Schizosaccharomyces pombe: one gene and its partners. The gene in region 4 interacts genetically with the main gene of each other region. Each region holds a gene or a part of one and is shown on either strand. Other genes may lie near its edges.

Region 1 (5,179 bases), on a different chromosome or scaffold from region 4:
TTATCCATTAGCATTAAGGTCCAAAAGTAAAATAAATCATACCTAACTCAAAAACGCATTCAACCCGAGCTTTTGATAGCTCTAAAACACGGTATAATGAAAATGCTCTATGCATTACCCTTCAATAAGCATCAGACAAAATAACTTTGTGCTAAAACGTAAATTTGGTCCAGAAAAAAATTGATTAAGAGAAATATAACTGAAAAACAAAGGAGAATATGTTCAAGAACAAGGTCTGGTTTAGTATGACATTCGCTAACTCAAGAGCTCGTTGAATGTCATAAAAATATTTAATACATTAGCAATTGCTACCTTAAACAGCTCTTGATTGTAGCATATAGGAGAGTTAAATAGTAAAGAAATAACTTTCTTAATAAACTGGATTGCTCAACTCTATAATATAAATAATATGAGAAGATTTTGCTTTATATTATTAGTTAAATAGTTGCTTTCTCTACTCTTGTTTATTTCCCGGGTAAAAAGTTTGCTAATGTTAGTTCCAGTTAATAATAATGTCATTGAAAACCATTTATTATTTATTCAATTAGGATATATCTCAATACTTTATGCTCGATATCCAATTGTTACCAATAATTACACCAAAGTTTTAAACAATAAACAGGGATATAAGAAATTTTTTGCTTTCCAAGTAGCAACAGAAATAAGGTCATTAATAATGACTTTTCAAGGAGGTACAGAAACTCCATTGCTATTGCTGGGAGCTGGCCAAAATCCATCTCGAATCCAACCGGCTTTAAGAACAGCAATCTGGTGAAAAAAAGTTTTAGTAAAGTAGCAAAAAAACGCAAACAAAGATAGAATTTTAAAAAAGGAAAAAAATAATAACCGACTCAACTTACTACAATGCTTAATTTGACCGGACGCTTCAACTTTTGCCTTCGATAGACTAGTGCTTCATAAACATTGAGATATACATTTTCAGGAACTACAACTTCATTCGATGAATCAGTTTCTTCGGTAGATTTTTTCCCTAAAAGCCATGAAGAGCGCCGTTTATGCCACTCTTCTACTCCAATTCCTAATTCTGTCGCATTACCAGAATCCATTATATTGGGTAAAAGGACCGTCAACAATTCACCGTTGTGCACGCCACATTTTAAATCGAGATTGGAAACTTGATACATTTTAATAACAATCCGTTAGATATAACAAACTTATTCATTTCATTTGTTCTGTTAATTTTGCAAAGTTGCTTTTTACTGCTTCGTATTAATTTCGAACAATCAAACTACTTATTCCGCAACACTATATGCTTAACCATCTTTTTTACGCTTATCATTTTCTTCTTCAACTGGTTTGATATCCATATTTTCACTAGTGCAAAATTTTCGATCATTCTAAAAATGAGTTCGAACAGTGCTGTTCAAAGCAAAAGTCCTTTGCTTCCTAAAGAAAATCCGCCTGTTAAAGCTTTTCCAGATAATATACAAGTTTCGTCCAGCTTATTGTCCTTCTTAATTTACATATTATATACTTTTTCTATCAGTGGTCTCTCGACTTTCGTTATTACAAAAGTAAGTACACATTCTTAGCAAGTTGTGGTTAGTTTTTATATTTACTGGTTCTTATTTACGTCCAACTCACCAAATTCTAGTATTACATACGTCCTCAATGGTTATACACATTGGCCCTTAGACGGGCACTCATAAAGCTTTATTACAATTTTATGGATGGATTCAATAAGCGGACTGATACATTACAACATCGGGTTGACGATAAAAAAATTTTAAAAACAATAGAAAAATGGAGTTGTATTAAAGAAAAATTGAGAAGAGTTGCCAATATAACTGAACAGGAGCAGCAGTGTATCCCGGCAGAAAGTTCGTTAGACCTGAGCATCCAGGCAATGAAAGGTGTCGTAAATGCAGAACTTTATCAGTTTGGAAGTCAAATTTCTGGATCTTTAGAATTTGATACTCCAATTGGCAATTTGCAGAAGCAAATTGTCTCTTTGAAGAGCAAAATGATTAATATCTGAATATTAAGGAACAACATAATAATTGCATGAATTCTCTGAATGCCTTATGTTGGTCCTACTGCATTCTATAGATAATAGTGTATTATATCTCAAAAAGAAAACGTATATATTTTAGATTACCGTTTTAGTTATCTTTGGGATAGATGCAAACGATCATAATTTTATACACCAACCAAAGATCTATAGTTTGGAGGGGCGTTTTGATATTCTTTAATAAAATATTCATCTTTATGTAGAACGAGATACCTAAATAAATGGTTAGTATAGTAGGGGAGTTTAAAAGCAGTAAACATACTTCAAGAATTCTTCAATGTAATTCAACAAACACTCGATGGATTGTGAATCCATATTAGTCCGGTCAATCAATTCAGGAAGGCTTACAAACAAGCGAATTAAATGTTCGACGCCATATAAATCACACATTTCAGTATCAGGATATTGCTGCCGAATTTCTAAATATTGCTGCCGTTCAAACCGATACAGCAGCATATTGCCCAAGCACTTATTAAAGTATATAACCAAACCAGCCATCGCTTGTTCAAAAACATCAACGTCTATTTCATTGTTCAAATGAGAAATCTTGGATTCTCGGAAGGCCGCTATAGCAGCCCGGACGGTGGGATTCCGCGGTATAGCTATTAACTGTTGATTTTTGGTAATGTTTTCCCAGTCATCAACAAGCCATAGCTTTAGAACGTCCGGGACACTAATCTTGTGTTTTGGAAGCGGTGGCTCTTCCTCAAAATCGTCTTTCTCGTTATTCTCGGGCTTAGTAGTTTCCTCGTTTTTAGCATCGGTTGTTCCATCGCGTTTCACTTGTTGAGGAATTGGAGACTCTGATTTTTGGGTTTTTATACGTGAAGGCAATTCATGTGAATCGCCATCAACCGTTACGGTGCTCGATTCTCGAGACCTCTTTCCTGATGTTTTAACTCCAGTTGAGTCATGTTTCGAAGTGCTGGATGCGGACTTTTTAGAAGTCGGTTTTTGTCTCGTAGAGATAGCGGCATTTTTTAACTCTTTCTGAGTCTTTAAATTTTCTTCTGTCCATTGTAGTATCCTATCTTGTTCAACCCATTCATCCCAACTGTTTTTCCATCCTTTATAATGAATCAGGTACGTGGTAACATCACCTTTCATTTCAGTATCAACAATTTTAGCCTCATAGAGTAACGGGCCGTGAAAGCATAGTACACGTTCATTCACCTTATATGACACGGCCATTCCAACAACGTTGTAGGTATGGTGGTGAGTTAGAAGTAAGAGGACGTGTGCCAAAACAGTACACTTAGCAAATTTATCCTACTTTGAAGGAGTTAGCTATTTTGTTTTAAAAATTATCTAGACCCATTAACAAACGGTGGGTGTAACAGGATACTATCTAAGCAACAAATTCATTCATCTGCAAAATGCTTGGAGAAAGTGCTATCAGTAAGTTACTGTTTTAGGATTTTTAATGATAAATTAAAAATAAACTTTCATTATGTTCAGCAAATACGTCCCAATACGCATTATAAAAAATGCTTTAGTCAAAAGGATACTTTAGGAAAAATTAGCTTTTCTACATGAGTTTTCATCAAATGCTGCGTTTCATTTATTCAATTTACTAATATCTCAAAGGTTGCTCATGAATATGGAGGAACAAATACTTAATGATTATCTTCTTTCTCAAGGGCGGTTGCAGTCTATTATAAGCTTAGAACAATGGCGGCAACTGTTTCCTCAGAGATACAGAGAAGACCCACTGATTGAGCGTTTATACGAATACTGTACACAACAAAGACAAAAGCGATTAGCAAAATTGAGAGCTAACATCCATCTCGAGAGTCAAGTTATCGGCAAAAGCAGAATAGATAGGATGTTGGCAACAAATGTTGAGAAACTGCAAACGGTCAGTCATGCCTCTACATTGCACGATGTAGAAGAATTTTACACATCACATAGTGCAAAACCGCTGGACATAAGTGAAATCAATGAGCGGCTTTCTGAAGCTGTGCAATCTGCTTATACAAAATTAAATGAGGAAAAAGAGCGCTGCACACAATTGACTCTTAAAATGAATAGGTATGAGGTTGATTAGGAATTTGGGTTGTTTTAATTGAGCTTTATTTAGCTTGCTAATAATTTCTTTCTAGTCAGATTGCATCCCTTAGCGATTTTCAATGGTCAAAAGAGCCAAACGTTGACGAGTCAATTCATCTTGTAGAATCTTTAATTGAAAGTTTAGAAAAGGCAGCACCTTCTGCAATAGAAGAATTAGACTAGGACCTTCAAACGTTAAGCTGTTCCATATTTATTCAATAATATAGCTTTAACGGGTATTTATTACAATGAATGAATTTTTTTTTCTTTTTAATAATTAAATATAACGTTATTCTGCACCTTTTTAATAAGATATATCTGTTCCTTTATAAACTCATTTCATTAAAACCTGTTCAAAGTAATGCGAATATATTTTCTTCAAAAGCATGCAGTATTTGTTCCATTTGACAAACTACATTTTAATAGAGTGATTAAAATCAGTTATCACTAACTTGTCGTAGCACGCATCCGAACCATGACTAACACAGTATAAAAGATGGAGCAAAATTTGCAAACATAGTTTGTAACACTTTCGCCAAATTCTTGATTAAATTAGGATAATATTCAATTTTCATTTTTCTTAGCATAGAAAGATTGAACTGTCAAATTTTTGGTGTCCGCAACATAATCTGGCATTTCTAGGATTTTGTTTACTTACTTGACTTCTATATAAGAACTTTTATACCAAACATGAAACGTCAAATTGACTATTCTTTATACCTTGTAACTAGCTCTAGTTTAATTGCCCCAGGTTCTACTATAGAACGTCAGGTGGAAGAGGGAATTTTGGGAGGTGTCACGCTTGTTCAGCACAGAGAAAAAGACATCTCTACTAAATGCTTTGTAGAACGTGCTAAACGACTTTCTGAAATTTGCAAAAAGTACGACGTGCCTTTTCTAATTAATGATAGGATTGACGTGGCATTAGCTGTTGGCGCTGACGGTGTTCATATTGGTCAAGACGACATGGATTGTGCATTAGCCAGAAAAATTCTTGGCGATGATGCTATTATTGGAGTGTCCACTAATAATATCGAGGAAATTGAAAAAGCAGCTGCTGATGGGGCCGATTATGTGGGTATCGGTTCTATTTACGAG
Region 2 (4,730 bases), on a different chromosome or scaffold from region 4:
AATATTTGAAAACAACAAAGAATTTCTCTTTGTTTTCTCGTTCCTTCTATACCTTATTCCACAGGCCAGTTTTCGTAGTAGAGCAGGTTTTTGAATGGATCCATTGAGTCTATATTATGGAGCAACAAAGTAATTTAGAAAAAGACCTCTCGGTCTCATCCTTTCTTGATGAAAAGGAAAAGTCGGGATACAAGCAATCTGTAAGATTAGTTTCCAATGACCCTTCTGCCTCACCGGCTGCTACGCATAAACCACCGTTCATCAGTGCGGCTTTGATGCTGTTAAATAACACAATTCTTTGCATTTCATTCACCATTGTCGTTCCTACGTCCGAGAGATTTGTCCAACATCTGGGGGGAGGAAATGGTTTGTCCGGTGTAATTATCGGATTGCCCACAATCACTGCCCTTGTGTTGCTGTATCCCATGTTGAGATTCTCGACTCCGAAAGCTGCCAAGGGATATACGATTTATAGAAGACCATATACAATGTCGTGTATAAGCTGCATTATTGGTCATATCATGTATGCACTCGCAGATAAAGCCAAAAGTGTGGCCTTGATTCTTGTGAGTCGTATTTTTACGGGTGTTGCGTGTACCATGTTTTTATACCACAAGCGCTATTTCACAGATAAAGCCTTGATCAGCATCAAATATAGAACGTCGATGGGTGTGGTCAACTCAGTCATGGCAACGCTTGGTTTGACAGCTGGTCCATTCATCGGAGGATTAATGGCCAAGTCTTCAATGAAGTCTCAAAGCGATATCTGGAATGAATATACTTCGGGTAACTGGCTAATGGCTTTCATTTGGGTAGGCTTGTTTTTGTTTGGCTTTGCTTGTTTCCGGGAGGTTTTGAGCCCGCAAACGGACGTAAAGGAAGAAGTAGTCGAAGAGAAGCATGTCATTAATGATGTCAAACAGGATACCAATTCAAAACTAGGATTTGTGGGGTGTCTTGTTATTTTCGTTGTCGCTTTCTCTGGCTTCTCTGCTTACTTTCTATTAAATGCATACCAAGCATCTGTTCCAATTTACACTTCTATGCTTTATAATTATTCATCCTTCCAAGCAGGTAACTTCCTTTCTTTGGCTGGAATTATCAACGTACCCTTGCTTTTAATATTTTCCTATTTGACGCGTTACTTGACTGACAGAGATATCATATTGTTGGGTTGTTGTTTAAACATCGTATGCATGGTTATTCATATAACTATTCACTATACAGGCAAGGAATTCGTACAACCTTACTTTATTATTTACACCCTTGTTTTTTTTGGATCTTCTATTGCTAATTCCCCTTCGGTCTCTTTATTGACAAAGGTTTTACATCCTAAGTACCACCTGATAGGTAACGTCGCTGTGCAAATATCAATTTCCTTATCCGACACAGTTGGTGCTATCTTTGGCGGTGCATTTCGCTCGTTCTCACCTGTTGTTTTTTTTGCGGTATGCTTAATATTAAACGTTATGTCTGTGCTTGCACTATTGATTATATGGAAGAAACTTAAGGTCAAGTTGCGCCTTGCATAATTCACTGGTAACTCAATGGTTAGGTTGCTCTCTATTTTTTTTTTTTTTTTTAATTTTTTTACAAGGGGGGGTTGATTTGTTGTTTATTTATAAATTTGTAAGTTGTGTTCCTTACAAATAAATCTAATACCAAATGGCTAATTAAATTGAAATAATGTTGCTAAATCTTTAATTATAATGAAATTAATTGATGAAATATACGTTAAAAGCCAAATGAGTTCGAATTTTTTATCTTAAATACTTTTTATTTTTTATCTATAGTGTGCCCATAGGTGCCTGCCCTTCAATTAACACATAGAGAGGTATGCCATTATGATCAATTAGACAAACAACCTATAAAAATCATCTACAGGAAAACATCAAAGGTACTTTCGTTAATAAAACATCTAAAAATTAAGAATATAATTATTGGTTCTTTTTTTCCTTCAAAGATGGAATGGCTCCCAGTTCTATAGCTAGCTGCTCATTTGACTGTAGAACAGGGTCATTTGTTGTCCATGTATATATTATTTGTCGAGTATGATTCTTTGAAGTTCGTACGGGTTGTGCAGATAGATAGCGGACATAAAGAAACGTATCTGCTACTAGAACCAAGATTGCTGAAAACGCACATAGCGCAATTTTCTAAATAATATTAAGTCAATACAAAGGTCTCCCAGGAACAAAACGAAAGTTTTTAATTCATACCTTTTCAATAGATAAAGATGAAGTGCAGTACCAAACAGCGGTCACCGTTCCTACTACTGTGAAGAGTATATTGATTATAGCGCTGATTTGGTTTTTCATTAGTCGTAACTCTGATTTTTTTTCTCTCTCAGGGTCCATGGATACGCCTGCCATTGATGGAAGCAGAGGAATACCATCATATAGCTCTTTCTCCTTTAAGATAGAAGTAGTTGTATTGTCTTGAGTATGGCTGTTTTCATCAATTTCGCCCAAGAAGACACTGTCGCTCGGCACAATCTGTACACCTCGAAGAAATTCCAAAAAATTGATATTCCTGTTATGTAATCGTAATTCCTTTAACATTTTTACCAGCTCAAATCCATCGACAGTTAATTTATTACACCGTAAGTCTGTCTGCTGTTTTTCGGAGAGCCTGTACAGCATTTTTGCAATAATGAGTCAATTTGACAATTTCGAAGGTATTAAAAAAGTAGAAGGGTAAGTAATAATGCTATGAAGTCTAGAAAGCAATCAAAAACGATTCATATAGTCCGAATTGCGTGAAACAGGATCAATCTAGGTTGGTTGACGATATTTGCTAAATTTCTATTGAGTTTTCTAAATGAAATAATTAAACCAATATTTTAATGTCTAATACTACGTTTTATATTGACCAACAAACAAACATGGAGACAGTGGTACATCCAAGTATTTGCAAAAGTCAAAGTTACGCAACGTAATACATAGCGTCCTATAAGAGGCAAAAAATGAAAATATGAAAGTTCCTCAACTTTTTTTGAAATCACCGTTTTGGTAATTAGCATCATAATTTTATTCTTCACCCTCGCTAACACTGTGCTAGGCCAAGCAGAATTGTAGACTTCCTCGTTCAGTGAGGTATAGAAGAATGGTACACGCTACTGTGATATTATATCTTTCTATGAAGTGACATAAATCTTGGTAACTGAACATTCAGTTTAATTTAGCGCCGCAATTGCTCTCGGGTATTTCATACAAACGATATTCAAAGATTATTTATTGGAATTTCAATATAATATTAAGAAGTAAATGCTACTAGCTTTGTTGGCTCTATGAGTTTTATATAACTTACGCAATTATTACTTGCGTCTATGGTTTCAAAATGTGTCCCAGTATGCTCATTCAGCGCTTGGAAAGCTAAAGGTTCAAGAATTTTTATGACTTTGGGTTGAATACTGAGATACTTCATGTTCAAAAATACCAGCGTTTCAACGGCGTTCAATTCTTCCATGTTGCACCATCCAAAGTACTTTTTTTTGCGAATTTATTTACGACAAACTTGGCTTACGTAAACTTTGGGGTAGCAAAATTCATATCGCCGCAGAACAGTTTGCAAGAACAAATATAAACCTAAAGAGGTACGGGTGAACAAATAGGTATTCGAATTAGGAAATGAAAAGTTCGAAGCTGAAGGAAGCTTAATTACGAAGACAGAATCAAATAAAGATAACTTCCTCCAGTATAGTTTTCATTTTTCCGAACGTCCATATCGTCTTTGCCTCTGCACCATTAAATTCGAATTTTTTCAACGATTTTCAAAGCTCACTATACCATATAACGTAATCTGAAGAAAGAAAGTTCCACTGATGCATGGACGCTATTTAGGTTTTTGCCCTTTATCTTTCATCTGATCTTACAAAGTCGCTTGAACCACGCTATCCTATATACCGAAGCAAAGGCCAACGAAAACAACTACGTTAATACCTGCTATATTGACTAAAAGAATGATATTTCACTTGGCAGCATTCGTTAGCTTTAGCTAGGAAATTTACGATTATTTAAAAAACCCATTCTTGTAATGCTCTTCTCATTTATTAATCTCATCATTTTCACTTCCAAAGATATAACGACTGAGGCGTAAAGCTACGCTACCACTTCCTATCAGTAAATTGTGCGACTTTACTATACGTTCTTCAAACTTCGTTATTTCCCCACCAAAAGACTTACTTGCAGAAAATTTTCTCTTTGTCACTGCTACACCCCGTTTACCACTACTCCGTTCTCCTTGGTCGTTTACTTCATTTTTGTCGAAGTAATCACAGCTATTGATTGCAATTTCAATTTATAAGAAACTGCAATAAGAGCTTAGAAGGAGCCTAATCCGTTTTCCTTTTTTTTTTTAATCTCCGCTAAATCCCTGCAGGTTTGAACTAATCAGTTTTCAGGAAGTAATTTAGAAAAGGTTCTACTCTCCTCCTAGAAACGCATATGTGTCCTATTCAATTAACCAATACTATTCCAGTGACATCTATGGCTTACAATCACTTCAGCATTCCTAAAAACATCGAGGAAAAAGAGAACTCTTTTTTTGACGTAACGTTTCAAGACGAACCCGACGAAACCACTTCTACTGCTACTGGCATTGCTAAAGTTTCCATACCTACTCCAAAGCCCTCTACACCTCTATCGACTCTTACTAACGGTTCTACTATTCAACAGTCCATGACCAACCAACCCGAACCAACGTCTCAAGTGCCTCCCATCTCTGCCAAG
Region 3 (5,488 bases), on a different chromosome or scaffold from region 4:
AATATTTTATTTACTAACTGACCAGACTGATTCCATTACAGATGAGACCCCTAAGGTCCTTAGTGAAATTAAGGAACATGGAACTATCTCTGACAGTAAGACGTTAACTGATTTGAAGAAGAGAAAGCTTGTTGAACGTAACAAAATTATGTACTTCTCTTTGAGGAAAGGTCCAAATTTCTCGCTTCAAATTGAAAAACTGAACACCGATTTAACTGCTGAGATGATCACCTCTCGATCATGGGAAAGTGCCAAGTTTAAATCTTACAACTTTGCAGCTGAAGGTATACCTCCAGCTGGTGGATGTCTTCATCCTTTGATGAAAGTACGTGAAGAATTCCGTAAATTTTTCTTCGAATTGGGTTTTGAAGAAATGCCAACCAACAATTTTGTTGAAAGTGGATTTTGGAACTTTGATGCTTTATTTGTCCCCCAACAACATTCAGCAAGGGATGCTCAAGATACTTTCTTTTTGAAAGTTCCTGCTTCTACTGATAAATTGCCAGATCCCGAATATGTTGCTCGAGTAAAGGCCACTCACGAAAACGGTGGTGAGACTAAGGGCATTGGATACCGTGCTCCCTTTTCCTTGGAGGAAACTCGTAAACTAGTTCTTCGTACTCATACTACTGCTGTCTCGGCGAATATGTTGTACAAACTTGCCCAAAATGGCTTTCACCCTGCTAAATACTTCTCAATTGATCGGGTCTTCCGCAATGAAACCGTTGACGCAACTCATCTTGCCGAATTTCATCAAGTCGAAGGCGTAATCTGCGATAGAAATATTACCCTCGGTGATTTGATCGGTTTCCTTGAGGTGTTCTTTGGAAAAATGAACGTTAAAAATTTGCGCTTCAAACCTGCTTATAATCCTTATACTGAACCTTCATTGGAAGTCTTTTCCTACCACGAAAAGCTTGGTAAGTGGGTTGAAGTCGGAAACAGCGGCATGTTCCGTCCGGAGATGTTAGAGCCTATGGGATTACCTAAAGATGTTCGTTGTTTAGGTTTTGGTCTTTCTTTAGAGCGCCCCACTATGATCAAATATGGTGTGGCCGACATTAGACAATTGATTGGTCCTAAGGTTAACTTGGACCTAATTGAGGCTAGCCCTGCAGTTCGTTTAGACAAAGAGGAATAAATTTAGTGTTTTTTTTTGCATAATCGTTTATAAAAATAATACATAATCACTATGGTAAACGTATTTTCGTATAGGGTCAATTATTAATATTTACAATGTCTATAAACATTAACTAAAATTATTTGATGTTTGTACGGATATCAAATAAAAAGTCGAAAATTCATTAATATCAGCCTCGAACGCGAACATCCACAGCTTTGTCTAAGTATTCATCATTCAACCGTTCGTCTTCTTCTTCCAAATGCCCAGTTAAGTCTGGTGGAATTTGCTGCATCTGAACGCTTGGCGCTCCTCCTAAGTAACGTAATTGCTCCAAGGCCCGTATTCGAAGATCTTCAAGAGCTTTCGGTGTATTTTTATTTTCTATCTTCGTGGTTAATCGCGGATGGAGGGTGTAATCTGGTGCGAAAAATTCGTAATACAAAGTTTCACGAGGTAATTCTGAAGGTATTTGTTCGTTTACACATATGGAAGTTTCATAACACCACGCTCTAGCAACATTTCTAAGAGTATAACCACCACCTCCAACTACAAGCATGGGTATATTGAATGAACGGGTAAATCTAACACATTCCCCATGTGCATGGATGCTCAGATTGAACACGCCGAGCCGATCATAACCAAGCGAATCAGCACCACACTGAAGGACAATTGCAGAAGGTTGAAAAGTATTGATAGTTGGTTCAATTATGGATTTGAAAAGACTAGTGTACTGTTCATCACCAATACCATCTTCCAAAGGAACGTTTAAAGCAAAATATTTCCCTCCTTTCACGCCATTTTCATCAAAATTACCAGTTGCAGGAAAAAAATCACCATTATACTTGTGAAAAGAAACCGTCAACACGCGGTCAGATTCATAGAATGCTTGCTGCACACCATCTCCATGATGAATATCGATATCGATATACAAAACGCGAGGAAAAAACCGTAGCATGTTCAAAATTGCTAGAACAATATCATTAACATAGCAGAATCCACTAGCCTCACCACGCTTTGCATGATGGAGACCACCGCTCCAATTGATAGCAATGTCTGTTTGACCTTGCACTAACTTCCGAGAAGCATCCAAACTAGCGCCTGCCGACCTTTGAGAAAATTCATAAGTGCCGTCAAAGACCGGACAGTCATCACCAATATTGAATTGTTGGAACTTATCAGCAAATTGTTCAGCATTATCAGGAGTAACGCGCTTAAGGAAATCCAAATAATCCTCCCTATGAAATTCTGACATTTCACCAAAAGTTGCCATCCGGGGGCTGAATACACTCATTTTGTTATGCAACCCATAACCCATCACTAAATGATTTGTAATGGTAATTCGATGGGGCTTCATTGGATGTTTGTCACCATAGTGGTAGTTTCCCACCTGTTCATCTAAGTGATATGTGACACGCTTTTTTTGAGGTCGAAAGCTAAAAAAAGACCCCTTTTCAACTTGTTCATAAGGTGTGGATGTCTCAGGAGTATCCATGATATACAGACTATTATACTAAAAAAAACCGCGAGACAAATTAAATGAAAATATCTTTTCTAAAGAAAGAACAAGAAAAGAATAAATAAAATTAAGAAACAAATTAATAACTGTTTCAGAAGAAACAAGAGAAATGAAAGTTATTGACCAATGCCAAATTAATATAAATCGAAAAACAACCCAGATTTTTTTATAGAAAAGAATTCAATCCAAATAATAAACAGCAACACGAACTGTAAATACTTTATTTTTACGTCGAGCGCAGAATACGTAGCAAAAGGTCGCTAAACCCGATACCTTATTAGATAAAATGTACAACTTCAACAAAGCGTTAATTCAAACTCTTTGAAGCCCATAAACACAAGAACAAATAGGATTTACAATTTTTTGAAGAATTGCTAGTGCTGGTTCATTCTTATAACTTAAAAATGTATATCTCAGTGAACACAGAAGGAAGCTACCAACTTAGGTGTAGTTTAGTATGTTATGCTTCCATATATGAACTAACACATTAATAACGTATCGTTATTACTTAAACAGATGGTAACCTTTAGCATGTGAATTCATAGACAATTTGGCAACTTAGATATCATACATACGTTGAAAAGATTTATCTTCAAAGTGATTTGGTTTGCGTGAATTCTTATGTTTTTATTTCGCCCTCTTTGCCTTCCAGTACTGTGTTTACATTATATGGAGTGGCGGAACTCAACACCAAATGTGGGCTACTATAAACAACCGGAAAAATTTTCAGCAGCTTAAGAGAGTGTAAAAATAATCTTTAAACGACACAAAAACGAGCCATAGGTTCATATATATTATTTCAATTAGTGTCTTTGTCCTTCTCGTTTGTACATTTATTGTCACATTCCTCTACTTTAAAAGATAAAGTCATAGTATCTTTTATTCATTAGTTATTGAAGTATCGAAAATATTAGTGGAATATCAACTTTCCCTATCTCTTTAAAAGACTCAAATCTCCCTTTCTTTTGGAATTTGAAATCATAATAATAATTTTTGCATAAAGCGGAAATTAGAACGTATCTATAATTTTCAATTTGAGAATAATGGCAGATGATACAGCTTACATACTAAGTGAGTATTTGCAAACGTTGGATAATGTTCCCAACGAAACAAAACACATCTTTGACGAAATTAGTGTGAAGGAAGTTGCTGTACATGACATCTGGAAGAGAATTCAAGCAGCTGATTCTCAGATTCAGTCATACATTAAATCACATGGTTCCTTGACCCCACATCCAAAAGAAGATGCTTTGTATTCGACGATTCGCGAGGAGTATCAAAAGGCAATTAATATACAGAACGAGAAAGTCCAGTTGGCGGATCGTGCCAGATTGGGACTTACACGGCACATAAAGCGATTGGATGATAGACTTGCAAAGGCCGGTCATGGATTTACAGCTGCGGAATTGTTAAATGCTCCTGACTACTATGCTTCTTCACCGTATGGTGGATACAGTCCAAGTGGTGCCTCAAGTGCTCGTCAAACACCGGCCCCTTCTCGGTCGGGAGCCTCAACAGCTGGTCGCCGTCGTACTTCAGCAACTACCAGGGGTGCAATTCAAAATGGAGTCTATCACTCTCCTTATACGGCTTCGTTGGCAGATTCTGGTTCAACTCGCGGTCAGAAGGTTTCGAATGCCACTGCAACCACCCAGTTAGAAACTAAGGCAGATTCCACAACGCCGAATGAAATGGTCTCAGAAGAAGATATGGAAGAGGATAATGAAAAGTATTGTTTTTGCCAGCAAGGATCATATGGGCAAATGGTCGCTTGTGACAATGCTAATTGTGAGCGTGAATGGTTCCATATGGAGTGTGTTGGTCTTAAAGCTCCTCCTGAAGGTACATGGTATTGCGAAGCTTGTAGGGATCAGAAGCTTGTTGATGCTAAGTAATTTTTCCCCAATCTAAAGTCTGTTGGTCTTCCCATTATTGAATGCAAGCATTGTTGTTTTTTTTTGGGCTTTAATATCCGCTAATTTTTCACCTGTTCCGAACTTACTATATTTGATTATACGTTGTTCAAGCTGTGTATATGTGATTTGCAAAATGGTTAATTTATTAATCATATCTTCACGATTACGAATCCTTTTTATCTTATTCTTGTCCTTGTTTGTTTTTCACTCACATAATAAGTACCAGATTACTTGTACATTAAGAAATTCAGTTCTTTAATTTCCCCAATCCTCCCCAAAGCAGATATTACACGCCGTAGCTAACCACAGTAATAAGTCTTTTGTAACTTTATTATTTGTAATTGCATTTGTTGTCCATTATTTCTACTATATTGGAACTGAACTTATTATTGTACATACAAAGGAACAAGATGCAGCGTCTAGCGTTTTCATATTATCTCGTAACATATAAAAGAACTCTTACGCATTCGGAAAAAAGAAGAGGAAATTTTTTAACCATAGATATCACTAGATAAATTTGATAAAGTGTATAGTACAAAATAAAAAGAACCCCAGATTATAATGGAACACTAAAGTGCCAAAAATTCACAATGAAAAAGCGTATATTAGCTAGTGTCTAATCCATTTACTCAGAACCGCTTTGGTCATCCTCTTCATCACCAGAGATTTCAGCATTTTCCTTTTCAAATTTTTTCATCAAATCGGCAAGCTCCAATTCGTCAGTTTCACTAACCGCCTTGGGTTTCATTTTAACAGTACAGGTACCATTGGATGCTGTAATGGATTTTTCGATTGCACCAATTGCCTCTTCTAGCTTTTTGAGACCCAATGACTTATCTAATGCGTTTGTCAAAAGGACGTAAAGTGGAGGAGCAACAAGTTTAACTTTGATAGGAACCTCCTCGGTATGAACATCTTCAGCAGCCTTCAAAG
Region 4 (4,942 bases):
CAATTTATTGGAGGAAAATAACACCAAAGGCTCAAGCAGTACGCTGTATCCTACAAAACAAATAGCCTCGTCTAGTCGTATATATAAATCTTAACAATAAGGCGACAACAAAAAAGTCAAGAGCATATTTTTGAGAGAACCGATCAGATATGATTAAAGTCGTAATTTTTGCCATGCTCTACTCTAGGACTTTACCGCTGCGAACTTCCTTTCCAGTTTTTTTAATCGTTTGTTCTACGAGCTCATATGGTTTGTCTGTGGTAACGATAACCTCTTGTTTTTCGACCGAAATGGATTTGTCTTCAACACCTACTCGACATTACTTAATTAGTACACAGATTCATCAACAAAATTCCTGAAAAACCATATATAACAAATACTTATATAAATGTAAATCTAAATACTTAAAAAATGACTTTTTTTAAAACGCACCCAGACGAGTTAAAACGCGATCGATGGCATTTTTGCAGCCATCACAAGCCATAGCAACGTTAAATTGGTACTTCATTATCAGATGATCAAAAATTCAACGAGATTTGGACAAGAAACTGTTAATTAACTTTTTTGTAACACAAATAAAAACAGTATTTAAAATTCAAGAAAATCCCAATTTTAAGAATTACTTTAGATGAGAAGGAGGGAAACGATAAGTTGGAAAATCCATTAGTAAAAGCATTTAGACGTAATGCAAGGAGGTATCCTTAAAAAAATAACGAGAGAGATATATTTGCTATAGATGTGTGTCAGTAATAATGCACTAAGCTATGATACACTATGTTGTGTATCACTATTTGTCATTACTTTGAATACTATTTAAATTCGCTTTTGAAACATGCATGAAGGAATTTCCATTTATTAACAAGTATGTAAGCTAACAAAACAAATTCAAAGAAAAAATTTAATAAAGTTTGCGCCTAAAATTGCTTCCTTACTTCAATGACTAGTTACTAACAAATTTCTAATAAAAATAATTATAATATTACTTACTCATACATATTGCATCCGCTTTTTGTAGATTGCAAACAAAACACACCGTAGTTTTACATATCATTAAATAGTATACCGAGATACGTAGCTGATGGTTGTATCCTTTAACGAAACCATAAAAATCGTTATAAGGGTTTTATGAGGTATAGAAATGTTGTCGTTAGTTTAATTGATTCAGTAAACAAGAGCAATGCAAGCAGTGGTAATGGATGTTTCATAACGATGTCAAACACTGAGAAATTAACAATAAAAAGAAGGTGAAAGAAAATAAAAAGGATCCCGGCTCATTGACGACTTTCAGATGATTTTGCTAACTCTTCACATTCTTTACAATACCAGATCCCCTTCGGTGGTTCTACTAGACCAACGCAAGGTAAATGGAACCATTCTCTTTTACAATTTTCGTTATCACATCCAATCATTTGTCCATAGGAAACTTGTTGACAGTAACAGTAAAGTTGCTCACCTTCACGGCTGATATCACTTGAATCTAATGTGTCGTGTTTGACAAGTGGTTCCCCATTTGTCTGTTTTAAACGAGATTCTGATCTCCGCACTGGTCGCCTCTCCGTAGATTGCGGCGCATGCTTTGTACTCGATAATGGAGGTGATGATGATTTTCTAGGAACAGCATTTTTTCGACGCTTTGTAGGGGTGTGATAAGAAGATTGCGGCGATGAAGCGTCTTCAAAGTTGTTATATGAAGACGACCGTTCCTGAGAGGAATATTGCTGGGAATGCTGGTTATTTTGATGCCGACGGGTTTCCCGTCTCCTTTCAGAAGTTTGAGGAGTCACAGTAGAATGATAATTCATTAAAGCTCGATCGTCTGGATATCCCAATCTCAATTGTTGGGGAATCTCCAATTCAACATATTCAAACCCAGCATCCAAACGGTCGATACAACTCTTGATATTATTCATTGCGTCTGTGGCCAAACAAATCTTTGAATCAGAATATGGAAGTATCTCTTTTAGTGTCTTTTGTAATCGCTCACATCTTTCTTCTCCTGACAATTCGTCATTTTTCTCGTTTTTTAGAACCACACCAATTTCCTGTATGACATTTTGACGGATATCTAAGATTTTGTTAACCACACGTTTTAAAAATATATATTTCACTTACCTCGTACTTGTGCATCGATCTCTTTCAAACTCGTGAATTTTCCACATACTGATTCAGGGACTGAAACAATGGCTGTAAAATGTTAATCAATGTGTTTATTTTCGCCTCTTACCATCTGTGAAATCATTTAAAGCTGCAAATATTTCAATTCCACTCGTCCCCATGATATTGACACTAAGCACGTTACGTTGTGCTGAGTAGGAAATGTATGTCCCACCTACTTCTCTCACTTTACTACATCCCTACGTGAAATAGCAAAATTGTATGTTTAATCTATTGATAGAAAGAAGTGATTCTATTATAAGCGACGCGTTTTAATGTACCAGAATTCTAGTATAATTTCAGCACTGCTTTGAACTGTAATTTTTAACGACATTATGTTAGTTCAGGTAATATGAGCCTTCTTGTTTAACCATACATTTCCAAATAATCAATTTATTTTAGATATCGGTTCTACTACTCAGTTAGTTGCACCTTCATTATAATAGCAAATTTTGGATGTCCGAAATATTTTTCCTTTTCACAACCTTCAGTGAATTCCAGATAATTGAGAAGTACATATTAAAATTCTTACCCAAAATAGACCGAGATTTACTATATCTTAAAGCTCAATACATTCTTATTTTTCCATTCTTCTCATTTGACTTACATACGATAGTGTATATACCAATATCAAACATTAACTCAACACGCGTAATCTCAAAATTTTGCAAGTTGGATTTACTATGTATAGCTATTAATGAAAATAATGATAGGCGTAAATAGTATGGTTTATTAAATAACGGAAGCTTTCTCTTTTTTTTTTTCGAACATTCATGTGCTATTTTCCTTCCCTAAGTCTAGGGCCATAGCTTAGTATTGTACATATTAAAAATTGGAACAACCGTTCCGCGTATTAGCCTAATTATTGAATTAATTCCCGATATTGTCCGTTTCATGTTCCTGTGGCTTGTTCCTCGGACGCGTCAGCGTGCCATTTTAATATATACCAGCCCTCCCATTTCTATGTAAATATACCACACGACTATTCCTTACACACATTATGAATTCTCTACGTTCAGTAAAACGGCTTTTAGGTGCTCGCTCTTTGAGCTCTGATGGGCTCTCTGAAAGCGTTAATTCTTCTGATCGAGAGGATAGCTTGAGCTTTCAGACTCCTTCAACCCCTTCTGAAGATGAAATGCCACAATGTTTTGAAGATTTAATCAAGCCTCAAGTTCTTTCTTCAGAGGCCTCAAAGAGTTTACTTTCCCTTAATGAAGGAATTAAAATGGAAATCGTGTCCAGTTTACAGCAAAAAGACCAGAAAAAGCGAAATAAATTAATTGCTTGGATGCGTAAAAAACCATGTTACGAGCAACCTGACGACTTTATTTCGTATATTGTAAATACAAAAATTGACTCAATCGATGAATCTATCATACACAAATTAGCTCTACTTCTCAGAAACGAGCAAGTAATGTATGTTTACATTTTGTGCAGCTACGTGAATCAAAGTGGTGATGCTTAAATTATCTTTTTTTTTGGCACTACTATTGTTTTGATTGAATGATAAATCATTCGTTTATTTTGAGGTTTTTCATACTAACTGCAATACAGATGGGTAGAGAAGTTTATACACAACGGCGGTTTCGGTGTAGTATTTTGTACAATCGACAAAATCTCTCGCCTTGAATGGAGAGAGGAACTGCACGATTCTATACTGGAGCAACTTTTACTTTGCGTTAAAGCCATGTGCACTGTTCAGGTATGCATGTGATATACATTTAGACCTATGTCTTCATTGCCTTTGACAATTGCTAACGTTTTTCCTAGCGCGGATTGGAATGTTTATCTCAATCCACTTATAATGTCGAGCGATTGATTTCCCTTTTGCTTTCAAAGAAACAGCCATGTGATTTTGTCGTAAGGGAAGTACTCGTTCAAATAGTTCACTCCTTTTACAAAGCTCATCTCGACAAAGAAGAAGGTGCAATGCAAGTTTTTTCCTTGTTTTCTATTAAAGACGATAAGGATGAAGAGGTTGAATTCTTAAAAAACGTTCGAGTTGATCGACCTTTTCGCCGTTGGATTATCGAACTTGAAGATGTTAGCCGTAATGTCTTCTGGGTGTGGAACCACGATTCTAATGTCATTGATTTGGAGAAACAATATAATCAAGTGTACGAGGCTCCATTGGGGTTTATTGGTGGTATAGAAACCGAAGCCACCAGCTATGTTGCAGCTCACATCCATCTTATTAATGAATTACTCGAAGGCTTACCTTTAGAGAAACGTCAAAGAAAACGTTTGGAACTCCAGCTAAGTGGATTAGAAAGAATCATGGGGTTACGGTTTCGAAAGAGCAGGTAAGCAATTTTTTTCAATATTTATATAAGCAGGCACTTACAAATCTAGTCAAAAATTCCATAAGAAGCTACATGAAGCCCTTCGTGAATGGATAGTGGCTGCTAAAATTGATGATTGGCCATACAAACTTGTGCAAACTGGATCAACCTAACTTTACCCTAATTTTCTATGCACTACAATCATCCTATGTATATAAAAGACACTAAACACCTTAATCATTTATCAAAATACGTCTTGTCATCTACTTTACCTAACCCAATATTGGAATACTCATCGTACATTATATATTAATCGCTTAATTTTTATTTATCAATTATGGGCAATAATAAAGGTAAATCCAGAAAAGTCGAGACTTTCGTCATTTACCAATTGCAATGCCCAAGAAACATTTTCTTTATTAAAATGCTTGGATTCCCCAAATACGTTTGTAAATTGTTGAAAAAACATTTCATCCAAGATTTCAAAGACTTCAACACCTTCT

Evidence for each region.
Region 1: of png2 (region 4) and alp13, changing one suppresses a phenotype caused by changing the other (phenotypic suppression), as found in Schizosaccharomyces pombe (2 studies listed by BioGRID, with this or other methods).
Region 2: mutations in png2 (region 4) and vph2 together harm fitness more than expected from each alone (negative genetic interaction), as found in Schizosaccharomyces pombe (2 studies listed by BioGRID).
Region 3: mutations in png2 (region 4) and hos2 together harm fitness more than expected from each alone (negative genetic interaction), as found in Schizosaccharomyces pombe (3 studies listed by BioGRID, with this or other methods).

The regions. Positions count from the first base shown.
Region 1 is NC_003424.3:1,585,329-1,590,507, forward strand, and holds alp13 (Clr6 histone deacetylase complex, chromodomain subunit Alp13/Eaf3), read right to left. Parts: upstream 3,250-5,179; 5' UTR 3,224-3,249; coding exon 2,295-3,223; intron 2,246-2,294; coding exon 2,161-2,245; 3' UTR 2,000-2,160; downstream 1-1,999. Other genes in the region: guanyl-nucleotide exchange factor Vam6, read right to left, coding at 43-115; SPOM_SPAC23H4.21 (uncharacterized protein), read right to left, coding at 685-768, 861-1,145; SPOM_SPAC23H4.13C (uncharacterized protein), read left to right, coding at 1,365-1,535, 1,616-1,999; centromere localized protein Cnl2, read left to right, coding at 3,627-4,063, 4,135-4,264; thi4 (bifunctional thiamine-phosphate dipyrophosphorylase/hydroxyethylthiazole kinase), read left to right, coding at 4,772-5,179.
Region 2 is NC_003421.2:66,443-71,172, reverse strand, and holds vph2 (V-ATPase assembly protein), read right to left. Parts: upstream 2,922-4,730; 5' UTR 2,643-2,921; coding exon 2,220-2,642; intron 2,157-2,219; coding exon 1,938-2,156; 3' UTR 1,694-1,937; downstream 1-1,693. Other genes in the region: SPOM_SPCC757.11C (transporter), read left to right, coding at 117-1,532; RNA-binding protein Rnc1, read left to right, coding at 4,488-4,730. UniProt on the Schizosaccharomyces pombe protein: Required for vacuolar ATPase assembly.
Region 3 is NC_003424.3:3,167,237-3,172,724, reverse strand, and holds hos2 (class 1 histone deacetylase Hos2), read right to left. Parts: upstream 3,055-5,488; 5' UTR 2,616-3,054; coding exon 1,311-2,615; 3' UTR 1,213-1,310; downstream 1-1,212. Other genes in the region: phenylalanine--tRNA (Phe) ligase alpha subunit Frs2, read left to right, coding at 26-1,141; png1 (chromatin modification-related protein), read left to right, coding at 3,683-4,534; tif211 (translation initiation factor eIF2 alpha subunit), read right to left, coding at 5,181-5,488.
Region 4 is NC_003423.3:1,119,674-1,124,615, forward strand, and holds png2 (chromatin modification family protein Png2), read right to left. Parts: upstream 2,289-4,942; 5' UTR 2,277-2,288; coding exon 2,225-2,276; exon of another isoform or gene 2,185-2,224; coding exon 2,113-2,184; exon of another isoform or gene 2,066-2,112; coding exon 1,272-2,065; 3' UTR 988-1,271; intron 932-987; 3' UTR 909-931; downstream 1-908. Other genes in the region: Cu chaperone Atx1, read right to left, coding at 179-309, 433-508; GTPase-binding protein Rid1, read left to right, coding at 3,155-3,573, 3,712-3,859, 3,928-4,460, 4,510-4,612; ribosomal lysine methyltransferase Set10, read right to left, coding at 4,771-4,942.